Linked DNA regions of Struthio camelus. The protein of the gene in region 1 interacts with the protein of each later gene in a biochemical or structural test. Links are inferred from orthologs where the notes say so. Each region holds a gene or a part of one and is shown on either strand. Other genes may lie near its edges.

The links.
Region 2: the proteins of FLT4 (region 1) and VEGFD form a complex in vitro, tested with the Homo sapiens proteins (2 studies listed by BioGRID). The link is inferred for Struthio camelus from reciprocal best matches to the Homo sapiens genes FLT4 and VEGFD.

Annotation. Positions count from the first base shown.
Region 1 is NC_090954.1:7,200,064-7,210,201, reverse strand, and holds the start of FLT4 (vascular endothelial growth factor receptor 3), read left to right. Parts: upstream 1-5,509; 5' UTR 5,510-5,601; coding exon 5,602-5,659; intron 5,660-10,138. Other genes in the region: nuclear factor 7, brain-like, read left to right, coding at 1-81. UniProt on the Homo sapiens protein: Tyrosine-protein kinase that acts as a cell-surface receptor for VEGFC and VEGFD, and plays an essential role in adult lymphangiogenesis and in the development of the vascular network and the cardiovascular system during embryonic development.
Region 2 is NC_090942.1:139,491,206-139,501,220, forward strand, and holds the start of VEGFD (vascular endothelial growth factor D), read left to right. Parts: upstream 1-6,303; 5' UTR 6,304-6,708; intron 6,709-7,115; exon of another isoform or gene 7,116-7,254; intron 7,255-7,367; exon of another isoform or gene 7,368-7,639; intron 7,640-7,847; 5' UTR 7,848-7,924; coding exon 7,925-8,014; intron 8,015-10,015. UniProt on the Homo sapiens protein: Growth factor active in angiogenesis, lymphangiogenesis and endothelial cell growth, stimulating their proliferation and migration and also has effects on the permeability of blood vessels.

The DNA.
Region 1 (10,138 bases):
TACTGCCCCTTCTTCAGCACCTGCTTCAGTGATGGGAAGGACAACATGGAGCCCATGCGCATCTGCCACCTGGCCCTGTGAGGGCAGAGGGAGGAGAAGGGGGTGGTGTCCCATGGGGGCCATGGGGATGCTGCCGTCATGGCCAGGCTCCTGCGCTGCTTCTGGCTGCTGCCGTTTGAGGAGTCTCCTGCCGGAGGGAAGTGCCTGGCTCCGCGGGCTGCCCAGAGCCCGTGCGGTGGGCCGGCGTCCGGGCCTGTGCACAGCCACCTGGTGACAACAGCGAGGCTCTTCGCTGGCTCCTGGCAGAGAGAGAGCAGATGAATCTCATCCCCTTTCTGGCTCTGCTCTCACGTTGCAGTGCCGTGGGCTGCAGATCCGGCCCTGCGCTCTGGCTGACGCGTGTTGGAGAACAGCCTGTGAAATCTGAAAGTTGCAGAGCTCGATAACTGGAGCTGCCGGAGCTGTGGCCTCCACGCCGTGGCTCTTCTGCTCGTGAAGCCCGCAGAGGACAAGGAGAGCGTTTGCAGAGCACCAGGACCCGTTATCAGGTGCCTCCAAGGGCCAAGAACATGAGCGATGCCCGCGAGGGCCTGCATCCATCGTGTGCCACCGGGGTGGCCACGCATGAAGGATTTCTGAGCCCAGATGAGGGGATTTCCTCTGCTTGGAGCGCGTTTCCCGGGAGGCTGCAGGACCGCTCCCGGCAGAGGGAGCTCCGTGCTCGGCCAGAGCATGGCCCGGGCCCCGCTGCACCTGAGAGGCCGCGGGACTGGCTCCCCCCAGCTCTAGCTGCGGTGCCACCATTAAAGCTTCGAAAGGCTGCTGCCTGCTGTACTGGCTCGTGTCTTGCAGACTGCAGAGGAGCCCGAGGGCTGGGGTATGGCACGACCCAGGGGGATGTGGAGCAGCCGTGTGTGGCTCCGGTCCCTGTTCCGGGCCAGGCTGCTTCCCCTCTGCCCTGTAGCACAGGAGCTAGGAAGAGAGATGGTCCTGGAGGGCTGGGCGGCGGGGATGTGTGTGCAGCGGTGTTTGGGTTAGGGCAGCCCGTGCCAGCGCTGGGGACCTGGCGGGTGTGCAACCTGCCGCGCAGCTACTTCTGCATTGAAGCAACTGGGGTTTTAGATGTTCTTCTGATCCCAGCGAGGGACTTTCCCTTATGGGAGCAGTGGCTGCAGCGGCCCCGCCGTACCCTTGGGGCGCTCCCCAGCCATCTTGCCAGATGCTTTTAGCCTTTTGCTGACCCCCTTGGTCGGACTGCTTGGAAAGGGGGCCGTGTTGGGGGAGAGCTGGCAGCGAGCGCGACGCCCCAGCCTGGAGGAGTGGGGAGGGTTCGTCTGAGCCAAGCCCAGGCCTGGGGCCTCCGCGTCCCGACAGCGGGCACCCCGAGGGACGTGGCTCTGCCTGTGCCCCAGCCTCCCCGCTGCTGCAAAGCATGAGGCAGCAAGGGCCGAGCACGGGACGGCCTTAACTGAGAGCCCAGCCAGGGACTCGGGTCTCTGTGTGATCCGGAAGCCGCCCCGTCCTGGCTGGCTCTGGAGCATCCCGGGTATGGCGGATCGTTGCATGCGGGCGCTCGCTCCTTCCTTGGCTTTGTAGCCCCTCTCGTGCCCGCGTGCACCCTCGCGCCGAGCACTGGCTTGTCCCGCCGTAACGGTGGCGGATGCTCCGGCGGCACCGAGCCGATTCCTTCCCCCCCCGGAGCAGCCCTGGCGGGAAGGCAAAGCCGGGCTCCCCCAGGGAGAGGTCGACTGGATTCTGCTGCCGCGGTTTTCGCCCGCGGGGAGGCCGGCTGCATTGCCGTCTCGCCTCGGCGGTGCTTCTGGGAGGCCGGAGGTGCTGGGGCCGGGTGGGCGGAGGCCTCGGCCGTGGCCGGGGTGGGATTGCCGTGTTTATGCCACCGAAGTCCGCTTCGGGGTCAAAGCGGAGGCCGCCGCTAATCCGGCCCCGCGTAGCCTGAGGTGCTGGCGGGAGCGAGGGAGCTCTCGCTCTGCAGAGGCTCGAGGCCCTGCGCCGCGGTGAGGGCCAGGAGGGCTTCCCGGCTCCTTACAGCCGTGCCTAAGGACGTTCGTCCCAGCGCGTCCTCCGCCTGTCCCTCTCCCTGCCCCGCCGGGCACGGGGGCGAGGGGCTCTGCCTTGCAGCGGCCGGAGGAGAGCGCCTTGCAGGGAGCGCGGGCGGATGTCCCCGACGCCTGCCTGCCCTGCTCTTGGCGCGTCCCCTCGCCGCCCGCCGCGAGCAGGGGAAAAGCAGAGCAGGAAGAGCCGCTTGCTCGGACAGGCTGCAGCGAGCGGGCGAGATGCCGGGGCGGTTCGACGGCAGCGGCCCGTCGTCTCCCCCCCCCACCCCAGGGTGGCTCTGCTCCCGAAACGCAAGCAGCTCGGGCTCGGGAGCGAACGGCAGCCATCGCCGGGCGGCGGGATGCCTGGGGGACGGCGGCACCGCGCTCGGCACGGGCTGCCGGCAGCGAGCGGCACCGCCGCCGCGGGCCCAGCCCCGAAGCGGCACCGCTGCCTCCCTGCTCCTCCCTGAAAAAAAGCCGCGTTGCACCGAAGCCCGCTGCCCGGCGGAGCGGGCATCCGAGCGCGCGAGGGCCCGGCCTCGCTCTCTGTCCCCTGGAACGGGCCGCGTTGTCCTGGCTGCTCCCCTGGTCTCGCTCTGCCGCACGTCCCGCCGTTAGATGGCAGCACGGGCGGGCCGGTCCCCGGCCGGGTGCCAAATTTGGACTGCACGGAGCTAAGCGATGCCGAAATGCTTCGGCTTTCGGGGTGCCGGGGAGGTCGGGCCGCCTCTCGGCGGGGCGCTCCCTCCAGCCTCTCGCCCCTGCTCGCGGCTCCATCGCTCTGGCCTTGCCACGGCCGGGAGCACCGGGGCGGCGCGGCTCCGCCGAGGGACCCCATCCCGCGCTGCCCGGCCTTGCCGGGGCCCCCTCGGGTTTTGGGCCGGGAGGTTGGTTCAAGACGAGCGTGCTGAAGAACAGCCCGGCCGGGTGCTCTCGGGGTTAAAAGCTCGCAAAATCCTCGCTGGGGCCGTGCTTGCGGCGGCTGCGGCTTGCCTCGCGGGCCGGGCAGAAGGGCTGCCGGTGTTTCTTGCGCAGGCTGGGCAGCGAGAGCGCTCGAGCGCGCAGAAGGTTTTCGCGCCTGTTTAAAGCCGCGAGCACACGGGTCTCCTTCGGGCTTCTGCAAACGGGCCGTGATTAATAAACCGCCGCGGCGCAGCGCGGGGCCGCGTTTCTTTATTTATTTAAAGCTCCGCACGACGCTGCGTCCGTCTGCACGGAGATTACCGGTTACTAGCTGCTAATTGAATGGCATTTCTGCACAGCTCTCCGCTTTCATCTTCTTCGCGGGGTTTTTTCCCTCTTTCTTCATTGCTTGGTGGCGCCTGGCCCAAGAAGGAGATTTTTTTTTCCCTCCTTCCACCAGCTCTGGAGCTCCTGACCGCCCCGGTACCCCGGGATCCTACGGCCGGCCGCAGGGACCCCGCGGGCCGGCAGGCACCCGCGTCGGCCACCCGTCGCGTCCAGCCGCCCAGGGTGCTTTCTCAAGGGACGGTTTTGCAGGGGCGCGAAGCCCGGCCTCGCTGGCAGCGGCGCGGGGGCAGCGGCGCTGGCTGGGGGCGCGCGCGGAGCTGCGGCAGCAGCTGGCAGCGCCTCGGCGCCCGCGGCGCAGCCGAGCGCCTTCCCGGCCGCGCGTGGCAGATGGCATCCCGCCGTCCGCGGAGGAGACGGCTGCGGCCCCCGGGGCAGCCGAGGGGCGTGCGGAGCGGCCCACCGGCCCCACGGCTCCCGGCGCCCCTCGGCTCGCCGAGGCGGAGGGCTGGGGCTGGCAACGCGCCTGCAGGATGAAGAATGACTTGAAAAGGGAAAAGCGAGCGGAAAGAAAGCAGCGAAGAGCTGGCGGAGGAGGGAGCAGGCAGGGAGCAGCCCGTGCCGCAGAGGGTGTCTCCGCGGGCCGGCGTGCGCGCCGGCCCCGTGTTTCGTGGCACGCACGTGTCTGGGTGCGGATTCGGGCGCGGGTCTGTCGGCGAGGGGTGCCGCATGCCACGTGTAGCGGTGCTGGGGAGCGGAGCGGGTGTGCAGGGGGCGAGGGGCCGCGCAGCGACGCGGCTGCCCCACGCTGCCGGCGGCGTGCACGGGCGGGCTGCAGCACCGGGGCGCCCTCGCGCCCCCCAAGGCGAGGGTGTGCGGGAGCGAGGCTGCGCCCGGGGCGGGAGGAAGCGCGTGTGCGTCGCTGTGTGCCCTTGGGGGGTGTGCGGGGGGAGCGGGGCTGCAGGAGAACTGTGTGCCTAGGCGTGCGTGTGCAGGTGTGAGGTGTGGGGTATTGCGCGCGCGTGTGTGTGTGTGCATGCAGGCATGAAGGGGTGTGTGCGTGCAGGTGTGAGGGGTGCATGTTCAAGTATGAGGCTTGTGCGTGTGCATGCTGGTGCGAGAGGATATTTGTGTGCATTCCCACAGGTCTGAGGAAGTGTGTGTGTGTGCACACTAGCACAAGTAAGGGGCAGGGGGTGCATCGGCATTTGCACGCAGATGCAGGGTGATGCGTGTCCATGCAGATATGAGGAGGAGCGCAAGCATGCCCACACGGATGCAGGGGGTATGCACATGCGGACACACAGATGCAGGGCACCCATGCACGCAGATGCAAGGGGATACACACACTTGCACAGAGGCATGGGGAGGACGCACACCCGTGCACGCCAGAGCAGGGAAGAAGCACAGCGACACACACAGGTGCAGGGTTCTGCACACACAAGCACACAGGTGCAGGGGGATGCAGACACATGCACACAGGTGCAGGGAGGGTACACACACAAGCAGATAGGTGCAGAGTGGTGCACATACGCACACAGGTGCAGGAGGATGCACACACAGGTGCACACAGGTGCAGGAGGATGCACACACATGCACACGGATGCAGGGTGGTGCACACACGCACACAGGTGCAGGGTGGGTGCACATACAGGTGCACACAGGTGCAGGGTGGGTGCACACACACACACACAGGTGCAGGAGGATGCACACACATGCACACAGGTGCAGGGTGGTGCACATACAGGTGCACACAGGTGCAGGGTGATGCACACACACGCGCACACGGGTGCAGGGGGAAGCACACACACACGCACACGGGTGCAGGGGGATGCCCATGGCTGCCCACGCATGAAGGAGGGCTGCAGCGGGGAAGCAGAGGCATGCACTCCGGTGAAGGGAGGGACGCACATGCACACACACACAGAGTCCCCCCGCCGCCCCCCCCCCGGTGCAGAGGGATGCACACACAGCCGTGCGGGGACACACGCCCACCCGCGCGGCGGCGCGGCCCCCGCACCCAGCGGCGGGGCGCAGGCGGCGCCGGCAGGTGCGCCCCCCTCCCGCGCCCCGCCCCGGCCCCGGCCCCGGCCCCCCCGCGCCCCGCGGGCCCGGCGGAGGGCGGCGGGCGGCCGGCCGGGCGGGCGGAGGAAAAGGAAGCGGCCCCGGTGCTCCCCGCCCGCCGCGCGCGTCGCCGCAGCTGGGGCGCGGCGGGAGCAGAGCTCGGGCGCGGGGCGCTCCGCTCCGCACCGCTGCGCACCGCTCCGCGCCGCCGGGACCTGCCGCCGCCCCGGAGATGAAGAGAGTTTGCACGCTGCCCCTCTGGCTCTGGCTCGGCTTTGTCTCGGAGGCAGGTGAGCGGCACCGGCCCCCGCGGGGCGCCGGGCGAGGTGGTGCCCCCCTTCCCCCCCCCCTCCCCACCCCGGGCAGGCTGCCGGGCGGCTGCGCCCCTTCTGCCCCGCTGGCCGACGTGGGGCGGCCCCGGCGGGGCTGTGCCGGGAGCCGCCGCTGCCGGGTCTGAGCCCCGACGGGCACCGCCGCTGCCCGCGCCGGCATCGCCCGGCCCCGACGGGGCCGCGCCGCGCACCGGCGCTGCCGCCCCGCTGTCCCCGCTGGGGACGTGCCGCGCCCCGACGGGCACCGCCGCCGCCCGCCCCGCTGTCCCCGGCGGCCGGGATGGGCCGGGCCGGGCCGGGCCGGGAGGGCGCCGTCGCGGTCCCCTCGTCGCCGCCTCTCGCGGGGCCGCGGCGGGGGCTGCGGGCGCGCCGGCGGGGCAGCGCGCAGGCCGGCTCCGCGCTCCGCTCCTTCCCTGCGCAACGCTCCTCCTGCCGTAGCGCTTCTGGGGCGAAAGGGCCTTGGGGCAGAGAGTTGAAGCCGCGGGCCGCGGCGCGGTGCGGATGGACGCCGGAGCGCGGCGGAGAGACGGGGCTGCGACCCAGCCGCCCGGGGCGCGGAGGGCAGGGTGCTGGGCCTGGCGGGGTGCGCGTGGCCAACCGCGTCTGCTTTCCCGGCTGAGCCTCCGCGGCCCCGCGTAGCGCGGCGCTCCGGGCTGTTGCAGCGGGGTGCGCGTTGCTGTGGGTCCGCGGGGGCCCTCCCTTCCTGCGCAGAGCAGGGAGCTGATTTTGGTGCCAGGAGGCTGCAGGGTGGTGAGTGGCGTATCTCGAGGGGTACCAGGCCACCGCTGCCAGCGGAAAGTGGGCACGGAGCAGGCAGGGAGCGACGTGGGGCGCTCGCCACCAGGCAGGAGCCCAGGGAGTGGGCGTGGGGCACCAGCTCCACCGTCTCAGGCTGGGCACGCTCCTGGATGCAACAGCAAAGCGTTGACAGCCCAGATAAGAGCGAGGCTGCCAGAAAAGTTAGTAACGCAGGAAGCTTCCAACATGGGGAGATGAATTTTGGGAGCATAAATAGAATTCGCTGTAACCTCAGCTCGGTGACTCACTGTCACCGGCTGCGTTTGCTGCCGTCGTCAAAGCGAGCTCGCAGGAGGGCTGCAGGTCCAACCCGTCCCTGCTGCGAAGGGTACGGAGGTGTGTTATGGGGAGCATCGCTGGCAGAGGGCACTGCCAGGGCAGGACCACGGGGAGGGCACCACACGGAGAGCTTGCACTGTCCCAAATGCTGCCAATTTGCCTTGTGTCCTGGACTCGCCAGGCTGTTGGACCTCAAGGGGAGCTCCGGGAGGCAGGGTAGAAAGGGACTTGCTGCTGGTGGCATTGCGAAGAGAGCTGCAGCTGTTCAAAGCCCTTTTGTTAGCAATTTGTAAAGCATCTTGTAGCTGTTCCTCAGGTTCTTTCATCTCCCGGAGGTGCTGGGAGCTTTGCCTTGGGGATACTCTGACCAGCGCGCTGCTGCGTGATGTGTGGGCCTAATCAGCTAAGGGCTGTGCAGAGCTTTGAAGCTCTCCAGCGCTGCCTGATTAGTGCCACAAGGAAGGTTGACACAGAGCTCGACTGTGGGACCCAATGTCTCGTGCACAAAGCACCCACAAATTCTTCAGTGCATCAAATCCCCATTTAACGTCTTTACAGCTAGGTGCAAATACTTGCTCTCCCTGGAAGCAGGGACATGGGTATGAGATTGGTCCACCCAGAAGGTAAGAAGGATCTTGAGACTGTGAAAGATTTCTTCTGCTCTCACTCTGGTTCCTGTGTCCTGGGTATTGCTGCACCCCATCGCTGGGCTAAATGGGCCATCGCGGATTGGGGGTGTCTGCCTCTTTCTGAGAGCGCGTGGCCTTTCGCTCTGTCCCGGCTTGGAGGTTCTCTGCAGGGCGCGTGGTGGACGCGGGCTGCTGCCCTCTGCCTGGATGGAGCAGCCGCGGTGCTGCCCTGCGCGCGCACCATGGCGGGGAGCAGACGGGGTGCGTCTCGGGGTGGCCCTTTGCGGACGGCGCGTGGGAGCGTGCGCTCCCTGCCCGGCTCTTGCAGCGGCGGTGAGCAGCCACGCTCTGCGCCAGGACGAGAGCTCACCGCCCCGCAGCCGAGCAACGTCGGCGGGGGACCCCAGCTTGCCGCTTTGAACATCATCTCTCAGAAGGGCCCGTGCCTGTGTAGGACGCGGGCCGACTGCGTTGGCTGAAGCCGCGTACCCTCCTCGAAGAGCGCGCAGACCTCCCCCCGTCCGGGTGCTGCTCGGACGGTGCCAGCAGCAACATTTGGGTTTGCAGCTGCGATTTGAAGCAGTTGCTTTATTGCAAGTAATAAACAGGGGCCATTTCGGCAACACCCTTTCGTGAGCGCGCAACCAACCCCACTCTGGTTTAATCCAGCCACTTGTTAGTGCTGAACCAGATCCAGGGCCGGGGAGGCGGGCGATGGGGGGGCTGCGGGGCCGCAGCTCGCGAGCGCTGCTGCGGGGCTCCCGGCGAGGGGGCGGCCGGAGCCCCCGTGCCCTGCTGTCTGTTTAAGGAGAAATTCAGATGAATGGGCTGCAATTACCACCCTGGGATTTGGCTCGGGCACGCGAGCCAGCGGCTCCGTGCCTGCAAAAACAGCCACGAGGATGTTTGTTGCCGAGCTGGAGTTGACGTCTGGCCGGGGGACACACCCCCAGCGGCACAATGTCCCCGGGGCAGCGCGGGACGGGGACGGACCCATCCCGGCCAGGAGGGGGGCTACCTCCGGCATCGCCCACCCCGCTCCGCCAGCCCGCCGAGGGCTCTGGCACGCGTGCCGCCGCGCGCGCGGCATCGCCGCCCCCGGGGGGGCGTCTCTGGACCCCGCGGTCGGGCCGCCCGGCGCCCTCGGCGTGGGAAGGGCAGGTGTTCCCGGCTGGCCTGGGAGGGAACTCGCTGTTCCCGGCGTCCCCGGGGCAGTTCCTGGCCAGGGGACGGGAGAGCGGGATCCCACGGGAACGGCAGCGAGAAGGGGTCCGCGCCGACGGCAGGGGCCGCGGCCGCCGCTCCACGGGGTCGGGGGGTCCGCGGCGCTCGGGGGCCGTTTCTGGGCAGAGTTGCCACCGAGCAGAAGGGCTCGCGACGACTCCCCGGCTCTCCGCGGCTTTGGGAAGCGGAGCGCTCCCTAGGGATAGCGCCCGTCTCGCCCGCCCGTCCCCAGCCTCTCGAGCTCCCGCAGCGCCGCAGAGGTGTTTCCAAACGCGTGTCTCAGCCTTGGCTGGCTTTCGAGGCGTTCGTCTTCCAATTCAGGCAGCTGGTTTGAAACGGCACCCAGGGATGGGGACGAGGTTGGGGGGGGGGGGAACGTGTCACCTCCCCCTGTTTGGGGGAGAGGTGTAATAAGCCCAGGGTTGTGGGGATGCCCCGGGGCATCCTATAGATCTGGGGAGAAGCAGAAAGCGCTGCGGTGGCCGGACCGCGCAGCCTGAGCCCGCTCAGGGAGGGTGGCGGAGCGGCAGCGGACGAGCAGAGGTTTCCGCGCGAGGAAGGACGGAGCGCGCCAGGGCGTCGCGAGAGAGGTCTGCAACATCACGGCTTGCCTGGATAAGGCTGCTGGTGGCCAGTCGTCGTGGCGGGAGGATGGGAGGTGCCCCGGGGGCCGGCAGGGAGGCAGGTTGGCCCGTGCAGGAGGGAGGCGGCTGGTCGCGGGCCGCCCTGCAGCCCGCTGCCGTGGGGCCTTGCAGATGTCCGGCGTTTGCATGGGTGCAAAAGGCAGTTGTGCATGGAAAAATACAGAGGTTTTCAAGGAAAAAAAATCCACTAGTGATTAAAATTGAAGGCCTCCTTCCCACCCCAAGGGAGCCGCTCAGCTGCCTGTTGCGGGGAGCCGGCAGGGCGACGCTGGCCTTGCTTTGAGCCTTTTCCCTCGACAGGGGCCACAACCAGCGGTGGAGCGAGGTGCTGGGCAAGGGCTCCTCTGCTGCCGCTGCTGCAGGTGACCCTGCAGCGGGGCGAGGAGACGTGCGGAGGCACGCAGAGCATGGCTGCGAGCTGGAGGAGCCCAGAGACCTTTTTCGTTGTGACCTCCCCGAGTTAATGCCTCGCAGCTGCCCGGGACGCCTGGCTGTCCAGGTCCCCGACTGCAGAGGCAGCTCCTGCAAACCTGCACCTGCGCGAGGAGCCGGCCGACGGCCCGCGAGAGCGTCCCACGCGAGCTGCGTGAGATTCCCGTGGCCACTGCCACCACCATGAAGAGCGTGACCCGTCTGGAGCATGCAAGCGTCTCCTGTTGGGGACAGAAGCTGAACCTTTGCTTTGGGCCAGAATTGGAATTATCTTTTGTCCTTCATTAGCAAAAGAAATACCGCTGCAGCTGCACTAGCATCTAGTGACTGGTTAAATTAATTCCAGGGTTTTATTGCCTCTGGCTATCCCAGACCTTTGTTTCTTGTTTCACGTTGTTAAAAGGGAGGGTTAGCTGGGTCCCAGGGGAGCT
Region 2 (10,015 bases), on another chromosome or scaffold:
CTCTCCAGGAGCATTTTAGGGTGTTCTTGCGTTAAGGACCACTTCAGAAAATATTCTTGCATGAATTCAGCTTTCACTGACAAGGTCTGCAACATGCATTTGTTGTTTGACCTCTGAAAATGCCACAGTCGCTAGATTACATGAATATCTTCTCATCTAATGGATGTTTTATGATGCTACTCTAGTCATAAGAATGACATGTCAGATCCCCCAGGGGTCAGTCCTGGGTCCAGTCTGGTTCAATGTATTCATCAATGACCTGGAGGAAGGGACAGAGTGCACCCTCAGCAAGTTTGCTGATGATACTAAACTGGGAAGAGTGGCTGACACACCAGAGGGCTGTGCTGCTGTTCAGAGGGACCTGGACAGGCTGGAGAGCTGGGCAGAGAGGAACCTCAGGAAGTTCCACAAAGGTGAGTGCAAGGTCCTGCACCTCGGGAGGAACAATCCCATGCAGCAGTACAGGCTGGGGGTTGACCGGCTGCAAAGCAGCTCTGCCGAGAAGGACCTGGGAGTGCTGGTGGACAACAAGTTAAACATGAGGCAGCCATGTGCCCTTGTGGCCAAGAAGGCCAAGGGGATCCTGGGGTGCATTAGGCAGAGTGTTGCCCACAAGTGGAGGGAGGTGATCCTGCCCCTCTCCTCAGCCCTGGGGAGGCCACATCTGGAGTACTGTGTCCAGTACAGGAGAGACATGGCGCTACTGGAGAGAGTCCAGCAGAGGGCTACAAAGATGATGAGGGGACTGGAGCACGTCTCCTGTGAGGAAAGGCTGAGAGAGCTGGGCCTGTTGAGCCTGGAGAAGAGAAGACTGAGAGGGGATCTGATCAATGTGTACAAGTATCTGAAGGGGGGCTGTCCAGAGGATGAGGCCAGTCTCTTCTCCGTGGTGCCCAGCGACAGGACAAGAGGCAACAGGCACAAACTGAACCACAGGCAGTTCCATCTGAACAGGAGGAAAAACTTCTTTCCTGTGAGGGTGACAGAGCACTGGAGCAGGTTGCCCAGGGAGGTAGTGGAGTCTCCTTCCCTGGAGATATTCAAAACCCGTCTGGATGTGATCCTGGGAAATATGCTCTAGAGGTCCCTGCTTGAGCAGGGAGGTTGGACTAGATGATCTCCAGAGGTCCCTTCCAACCTAAACAATTCTGTGATCCTGTGATCTCCCTGATGTCCTGTACATGCTCTGCTGCCACTATCTGTCCTACAGTGACTTGAGTTATATTGTTATAGGACTCTACATATATAGGACTCTATCCTAGCACAGGATAAGCAAATAGAAATATTAAAAGCACATAGAGTCCAAGCTGTGCTGTTGCTGTTCCCTACGGAAATACCTAACATTTTGTTCTAACAGAAGAGAAAATGCCAATTGGCCCTACCTTGTCATTAGCAGCATGAGTGCAGAAGTGCTCCTGCTGTACAGGAGGAACAGACAAGGTTCTTTAACTTGCTCAAGACCTTACCCATAGATTGCAAGGTTAAGGATAGTGATGTCATCTGCAGCCACATTTTCCTCTTAAGAAATTGTAAGGTTGATGTGATACAATAAATGTCTATTCGGTTACACAAGTTGGTGCAAGCTGCACATACCCTTAAGTCCCAGGGTGATTTAGCAACAGTGCTGTGTATACTTAAGAAAATGAGGACCTATTGTTATTATTTCCTCCTTGATAAGCATCCAAGAGTTCATCTGCTTTGCTCTCGATCCATTCAGAATTCAGCAGTCTGGATACTCATTGTGCTTTGCCTTGCTTATTGTACAGTAATGGGATATGAAGTGTCAGATTAAATGTAGGCATTGAACTATTGACTCTGCAGCCATCCTCTTGGTATCCGCCTCCTTCATGGCTATGTTTGTGAGCTGTTTCAGACGTCCCACTTGAACAGGTAGAGATCCTCTGACATACTTAGTTCTTTAACAGAACAGCAGCCAGTATTTTGGAGTTAAGCTGGAGACAAGGCCCTTGTTACAATAGGTGTCAAGGATGGCATTTTTTCCTTGGTTTGTCTGTCTGTCTATCTGTCTGTCTTCCTCCTTCCTCCCTTCCTTTCTTGTCTATCTGTCTGTCTATTTGTCTTTCTCTTTTTGTCTTTCTGTCATTCCTCTCCAAAACCTTGAGAAGTCTTTTATCTCTGGTGTTTAGCTCACCTCATTTCTTTGTAGGAAGAAAGTGAGGACTTATAAAAATGACAAGCAAATTAAGGGGTTGTGAATGCCATTACATGCTTCTGTAATTAAAGTCTGATTATCGTTTCAGTTGTGCCCTCATTAACAATGATGTACACAGAGATGGATGTGAAGATAAACAGATATAGAGCTCCTGTTGTGGTACATTTGTTGATTAGCAGGAATCCAGAGATAGGTCTTGCTCTCTTGATTGGGGGCCATGGGGAATAGGTCCCATAAAAGTCGAGTTATACGCAGACACAGAAACACAGGAAGCCCTGTTATGAAACACCAATTTTTTCATACTTAGGTTAGCTCTGAGATGCTGAAGCTGACCTTCAGCACAGCAACCATCTGCTCAATAGGTTTCCATCTCTCCTGGCATTAGGAATTACAAATATGAACTAGAAAAGGTAACAAAGCAGCTGTGCTCTCCTAGAGGTTGGGGTAGAGGCTTTCAAAGGCAGAGCGGTTCAAAGGTGTGTTCATCACTCAAAAGTTCAACCAAGTATGTTTGTGATTTTTATCTGCCTTTTGTTGACAGCGCTCCTCCTGCTGCATACAGTCAGCAATAGTGTCCCTGCTCTGAGCTGTGCCTCAGTGTGGCGTAACTGAGAATTGAACTTATGGGTAATGTGGTTCATATTTTTTAAAGCTAAGAGTATGTCTGCCCTTCAGCCAAGGGTGTGTTTGCAGCTTGTGTAGACATTCCCTAGTGAGCTTTAATCTAGCTAGATTGGATATTGATAGCAGTTTAGCCACTGCAGCCTGGAGCATAGCAGAGGCACAACACAGTTCTTTAGCCCACTTCTCAGGCAGGTTTTTCAGCCTGCACTGAGCTCTAAAGTTACTGCAGCAAGTAGGCAACATAGCTGGCTATCTAATTTAAGGATAGCTTAAGTGTAACCTTATGAGGTGAAGTGGCAGTCTGGCTGTGGACTGATTCTGGAGCTGGCTGGTTAGTAGTTCCTCAGGGCTCTTGTCACCCCAGTCTTTCTGCACCGACTCAGCAGAATCTGGCTATTAGATCTGGCATATTTTTTATAAGTTAATTTTATTAATAATCAGTCCAGCTCAGCACTTAACGTGTTTTCAAACATTCTGCTGTTTGATAGAAATTTCTGGTTCCAGTATCTATGCTAAAAATTGCTTTACTTCAAAAATATTTTAAAATTAATAATTACATGTGTGCGTGTGCTAAGTGATTAACCTCAAATTGCCGTGTAATTGCTGTGTCATAAGTATCCTATTAGGTCTAAATTAGATCATTGTTTGCAATATTTGAGATAATAGACCCAATTTTTCTTTTTCCATGTAATTTGCAAGAAAACAAAAGTTCTTCTGTGTGTGGATTACTTAGAGGGAATGTACAGATCCCCTCACAGAATCATCTTACAAATACTTACTTAATGACCTTAGCTGGGAATTATGTTATTTTCCTGACTATTGCTACATGCTGAGACTTAAATTTGTGCAGAGTTCTCAAAAGCATATTATGTGAGGAAATAATGCATTAATTGAGAGTAAAGGCAATTAATTGCCTTTATTGATCTACAATTTTAATTTTGCAATCTGAGATTAATCTGTTTAATTGAAGTTAATTTAGGGCATGGCCTCATGAGGCTTCCGTGATCTGAGCAGTGTTACTGATTTATGGCTTAAGCTTGTGTTAAAGGTCTGACGTATCTTCCCTTTGTGTTTTGTTACATGTTTCCAAATGAAGACGGTTTTTGTTTGCAGTGTTTCTCTCTTAGTTTTCTCTGGCAAATAGTGACACTGGTCACTGAAAGCTAAATATAGTATTATTTTTGCATTCCATTCATCAGTAAAAGTCTTTTTCCTCTTATTTACTGGGAAACCCAGTTAAAGAACCTGCATTACAACACAGTAAGCATTTCTGTTAAATAAGCTGTACTTGGTCTATGTATTCTATCTGACAAATTAGTGGAAAGAATTAAGAAAATATGATTAATCTATTCCTAACAATATCTACCAACTTCTAGGTCTTTTATACGTTCTTTTCAATCATAGAAACAGTGTATGAGTATCTTGATCAATATGTGAGATAGACCTAATTCAACGAAATTTTTAATGTACTGATTGGTTCCTGCAATATTAATCTATCAGCTACTCACGCAAAGGTGACATAAAATTATGAGCTCTATGTTAATTTAACAGTACCTTAGCCTTGCTGATGTCCGTAGTGCTGTGTCTACAAGAGTAGTCATGTAAATAGTCACATAAATTTTAAATGTCTTTTTTTACAGTACTAGATTTTTAAAAAATTACAAATCAGCCATGCACAGAACTGAGTAGGTGTTCCGCAATAGCAAACTGAGATAAAACAAGAAATAGAATGCAAACGTTGTTAATTTGTGTTCAGATATGGAATGAAAACATGAGGCATAGCCCTGGAAGGCGTCTGGTTGGGCAACAAGTCTGTTCCACTGCTGTTGCAGGCAGCCTGCAGTATAATCTCAACATACTTCTGAGTTTTCAGCTTCATCCTGAAAGTATTTAGATTGTTCTCATTGCAGCACTAGACCGGAAAAACGGTAAGCAAGTTGTGTGAAGAGCTGGTCTGAGATGGTGCTGGAGAGAACACCTGTTCATATCCTGAATAAGAGGGGAGAGACAGGAGAGGTAGGGGAAGGGATGGGGACCTAGGTGCAGACTGCGAAAGTAAGCTGTTTCCTGAAAGTCCTTCATCACAGTTGTTGTGCTGTTCCGTCAACTGATTCCTTTTCCTTTGCATTTGCTTTCATTAACGGCTTTGGGCTAGATTTAAAGTCTACTGCAGTCAACAAGAGTTTTTTTCCTTCTTTGCCAGCCTTTGTGTTTGAGCCCTAAGGGAGGCATTAAATATTTTTTCTCTCTTCTCTACAGCATTTAACTTGCTCTTGTAAATGGGTTTGATTCAGTGCCAGAGGTTCACTTCAGCAATCCTGCCAAAAAGCCCATTGAAGCAGAGGTGGGTGGATTTTTCTGATGACTAGTTTGCTTCCAGAAAGTTGTAGGTTTGGTCTTTCCAAATGTATTTGTGATTTGAGGTTGAATTCCTTAAATAGCAGTGATGAACTAAAAAACAAACAAAACACCGATAAGGAGTTTCTCCCCAGCATTTCCAAAACAAACAGCCTTGCTTTTCTAGTGCTAGATTGCTAAGAATGCCTTAAGTATGTTTTGCAGATCCTGCAAAGGCAGAAAGGCCATCATCACCATCATCTTGATGTTGAGGATATGACAGCCATTGGGTTTGAATCACTTTCCTTCCTGATACAGAGTAAAGACCTGAGCTATAGTCTTATTCTCAGAAATGGGCCTTCATTACTCATCTGTAGAATGTACCACCACAGGTGCTTTACACTCTCTCCTTGAAGCTGTTTTGCTTCATATAGTTAAACACTTACTGAGCTGAAGAAATTCCATAGCTGGTGTTCAAAGCCTCTGTGATGTACCTATTTTTTTCTTTGCTTTGCCAGCTTATGAAATAGAATGGTGATGCTTATGAGAGGGACAGAAGCAGACTGTCTGATGGCTACAGGAAGCCTTGCTCCAGGTGCCTGTCCTGGCTGAAGAAAAGGTGGGCTTTCATGTGAACTCCCCAAGGGGAGCAGAGCAGCTCAGCCCTGAACTGTGCTGGTGATAGCCTGTATAAGTAAGCATCTAAGTCACCAGGCTGCAAGGCATGAGAGTATCACTCCTTGCCTGTTTTGTAAATCTGGGTCTGTGTTTCAATTAATGATCCCCAAAAATGAGACATTTTGATCTCATTTATTGGGCAGATACTCCCCAAGTTAACTTCAGGTCAACAGAAAATTGTTATTATCATGCAGTCCTGGGAGCACTGTATTTTTCGTTATTTTTTCGTTCAGTCCTTTATGCTGGAGCACCACATGCAAGGCCAAGGAGTATTCATTTAGGTCAGCAGGGTTTCAGTTCCTGCAAGGACCTGGATATCAGTATCAGAAAGTGGAGAAATTAAATGAGGTTAAGGTGAACATACATGAGCATTAGAAAATATGCGAATTTAAAATGATTAAATAAATAGTTCATGTAATTTAATGTGAAATACAGTAATTGTCACAGAATGCCCCTTGTATCTGTGAGGCCTGTCAAACCACGTGAAGACCACTGGCAACATGGCTATGGGGAAGGTGTGAGTGAGAGAAGCAAGCACACAGAAAAGAGGAGCTATTTCACACCCAATTCAGAGAGGTGACATTCCTGCTGTCCTTGTACAAACCAGAGCAGGATGGATGGGGAAGAAAGCCACCACCTAGAAAAAAGGGGGAATAGATAGCTTCCAGGAAACAGGTGGCAAAAGACTATGCTAAAAAATAATATAATTACATACATCATATGCTTCTGAAATAAAACGGCTCAGTTAAATGGCAACAGCTGGAATGAATGGATTCAAATAATTTTTTCTCTGATGTCCATTTGTGATGAGTACTGAAGAAGAAATTATGCAAGCTAATGATAGTTACAGAACTGTGGCATACGGATTTAAGAGAGCTACTGCATGAAAGTTGAAGGTAGGAAATAAATGATCTGAAATTATTAGGTACATGGCTGACTTTTATGTTAACAGCTATAGGTTCTGATTCTGCAAACCCTAAACTATGTGAGAGTTGATCGTGAATATAATATATGAGAACAGCAATATATATTAAACATGCATAATTAGCAAAGCCTTGCTCTATGTTTTAATTATAAATGTTAGATCTCCATTTTGGTTTTAAACTGTGGAAAAATACAGAGAAAATGCATCTAGGTCTTTCCATTTTGCTGCAGAAATAATTTGCTTTTACTGCAATAAAAACAGATTTATTCTTTTTATATCTGTAGCTTCAGGAGTTTTCATTAAAAACAAAATCCTTTTTGTTGTTAAGGATAGTTTTTAACTTTCCTTTGTAAAGGAAATCTATCCAGAAAACCCTATGCCACAGAAGATAAAAGGCAGCAAAGAAAATGATCTTTCTCCTTCTTTCTCTTTTCCTTTCTCTCCCTCTCTTTTTTTTAAGAAGTAACTTAAAATGTGTGCGCTGTGTAAGAACGTGTGCTGAAGTTTCATGTTTCAGGTAATCTTCTTTAAAATAATGGGAGTATAGATTGCATCAGTTAGTTTAAAAACTGCTATGCTATTGGTAGGGACAAAATGGGATTAGAGCCAAAATTTGACTGTGTTACTGCCAGAGTCTGTATCAGATTTAAGACACATGCTTCTGCAAGCTTCCATGAAGGCTGTGAAAAAAGTTTTAATACAGAGTTGGATTACAGCTCTGTAGCTCAAAACATTGGCCATTACACTACTATCTTAAAAGGCTGATGTAACACGGAGCACAAAATAGAGAAGATCTTTTAAATTTTCTGGACCATAGATGGATTTTTCATACCTCTTTGTGTCCTGATGGAAGATATATCAACTTTGTTAACTGGAATCCATACCTGATTACTTGTGAGATTGTACGTGTGTGCATACAGATATATATCTATTTAAACTCTTATCATGCTTTGCTTTCAAGTATATCTAAAACCTACTCTAAGAAATGACATTCACTAGACGAATTTATAATTGTTTTGAAGAGTGAGAGCTAGATACTCTCATACGCTGGAATTCTTTGTGAGTTTATAACAGAAATTTTGGAAGCTTTCTTTTTTGTATTGGTGATAGAGAAATGCATTTCGAAACAGACGCCTCCAGCTGTATGACAATAACTGCGTAGCAACCTGTGGATCTGAAACATCACAATGTACAAAGCGTGGGCAACTGTGAATATTTTCATGGTGTCTTTTCTACATCTCCTGCAAGGATCTGATTATGAGAATGGATCTGTGAAGGTAGGTGATCTTTTCTTCACTGTCATTGTGAATAATCCAAACTGCCAGAAATAGGTAAATTTATTGTGCAAGGTGGTAGTCTTTTTGCTGTGCTTTTTTGTGTGTGGTTGTTTAGTTCTACAGATGTTTAGCAGCCACAGAGGAAAGAAAATCTTTAATGAAGTTTAATCCATACTCAGTGTTCAATATTTTCTTTTGCTACTCATTATTAATTAATTATTGTATACTTTCTTCCTAAATAAAACTTTTAATATCAGTTATTCAAAATAAAAAAAAAAATCTAAATAAAAATGCAAGTCAGAACATTTCAAATACTTGTTAAATTAACTCTTTTATTTCAGGAATGTATTGTTTCAGGAATTAATATCCTCATCTTGAAATTTTTCCTCTAAAAACACTTGTTTATCCGTTGTTCACTTGTTTCCAGATATCAGAGATATGTCTTCTTTTGTTTTATTAGGAAATGTTACCCAAGACTCTAAACTAAGCAGATACTAGTAATAATAGAGCACATGCCCGGGAATTAACCTTTCTTCTGAATGGAAAACATACAACAAAATTTGGGGTGAAGCCTTACCTTGAGAGCAGGATTTTTCGAATCTGACTTTCTGAGACAATGTGAGAACATCCAGGACAATCATTTCTAAAAATCAGAACAAGAACTGGAACAAGATCCTCAGCAAGCAGTATGTCCAAACCATGATTAATTCAGTGTGTGGTCCAGAACGAATTATTTGTTTTTCACCAGTGGAGCAAAACAAGTTAATACTTTTGTTTTCACTTCAGAAAACCTCCTGCTTGCAAGGGATGACCACACACTTGTCTGTGAAATGCATTGCATGTTGACCTCTGTTTTAGAAAAGAAATGCTAAGTTATGTGCTTAATTGCAGATTCCTGTTGCCAGCACAAGAAGTTAGTGGTGAGCGATGTGTGCTTCAGAGTGACTAATGACTAACCCCTTTTCCTGCCCACCATTCAAAAGCTTTTAACTTGGAACTTCAGCAATCAGTTCTTTGAAGGCATTAACAGCAGTGTAATCAATCTGTATATACATTACTTCACACACTGCATGACCAATCGCCGGTTTCTTACGTGAAGGAATCACTTTATTTAAATCAGAAAACAATTTCTAATAGAGAATACTAACCATTATGTAATTGGATATGATGACAATTCTGTTTTCACAAAGGGCATGAGTTTATTCAGCATAATAGTAAGCCACTACTTCAACTGAATTTTGAAACCTTATCCACTTTACCTAGAATAAATGCAAGACCTCTTCTTGCTGCTGCACCTACTTGTTATGCATAGTTTCTAGTTCATTCATTGTGATAGCATTGTCTGTCCAACAGATACACAGCTTTAATTGTTTTCATCTTAAGTTTGCTACCGATGTCAAGCAGCCACAGTCTAGGCATAGGGTATTCTTGCAATATAATAATAAATCACCGTTTATTTCCAAGACTATCATGAAGGTATAGCATAGATCACACTAAAAAGGGCTGTGTTTTGCATGCATTGGTTGCTGATTACCAAAACAAAAAGTCAGTTTCTCTGCTTGTTCAGACGGTATAGATAGTTCACTCTGCATAGACAGAGATTCTTGGCTGAGTTGTTGATTACTTTTGTTCTGATGTTTTATTTAGTATGTTAGATTTCTGGATTGTTCTGGCATTTATGACCCATGGCTTTGTGTGTGTATATATCCCACAAAAAATCCTTCATGTTACAGTGTTTAATGGTACACAGGGTTACACTCATTCTTACTGATGTGCCTTAATTTTAGTTGCAGAACACAGAAAGAATGTATTGTATCCACCTTTCCCACCTTAATTTTTAAAGCTTTTTAAGATCAACGGCAATATTGCCAGAATAAAAGCCACAAAGTCAGGATGTAGGGAATACACATCTAATAAGGCACAAGGAATCACACAGAAGCAACCTACTGTCTCTATCAGTTGTTATATTAGTCCAAGCAACTGAGCTCTACACAGTAAAGC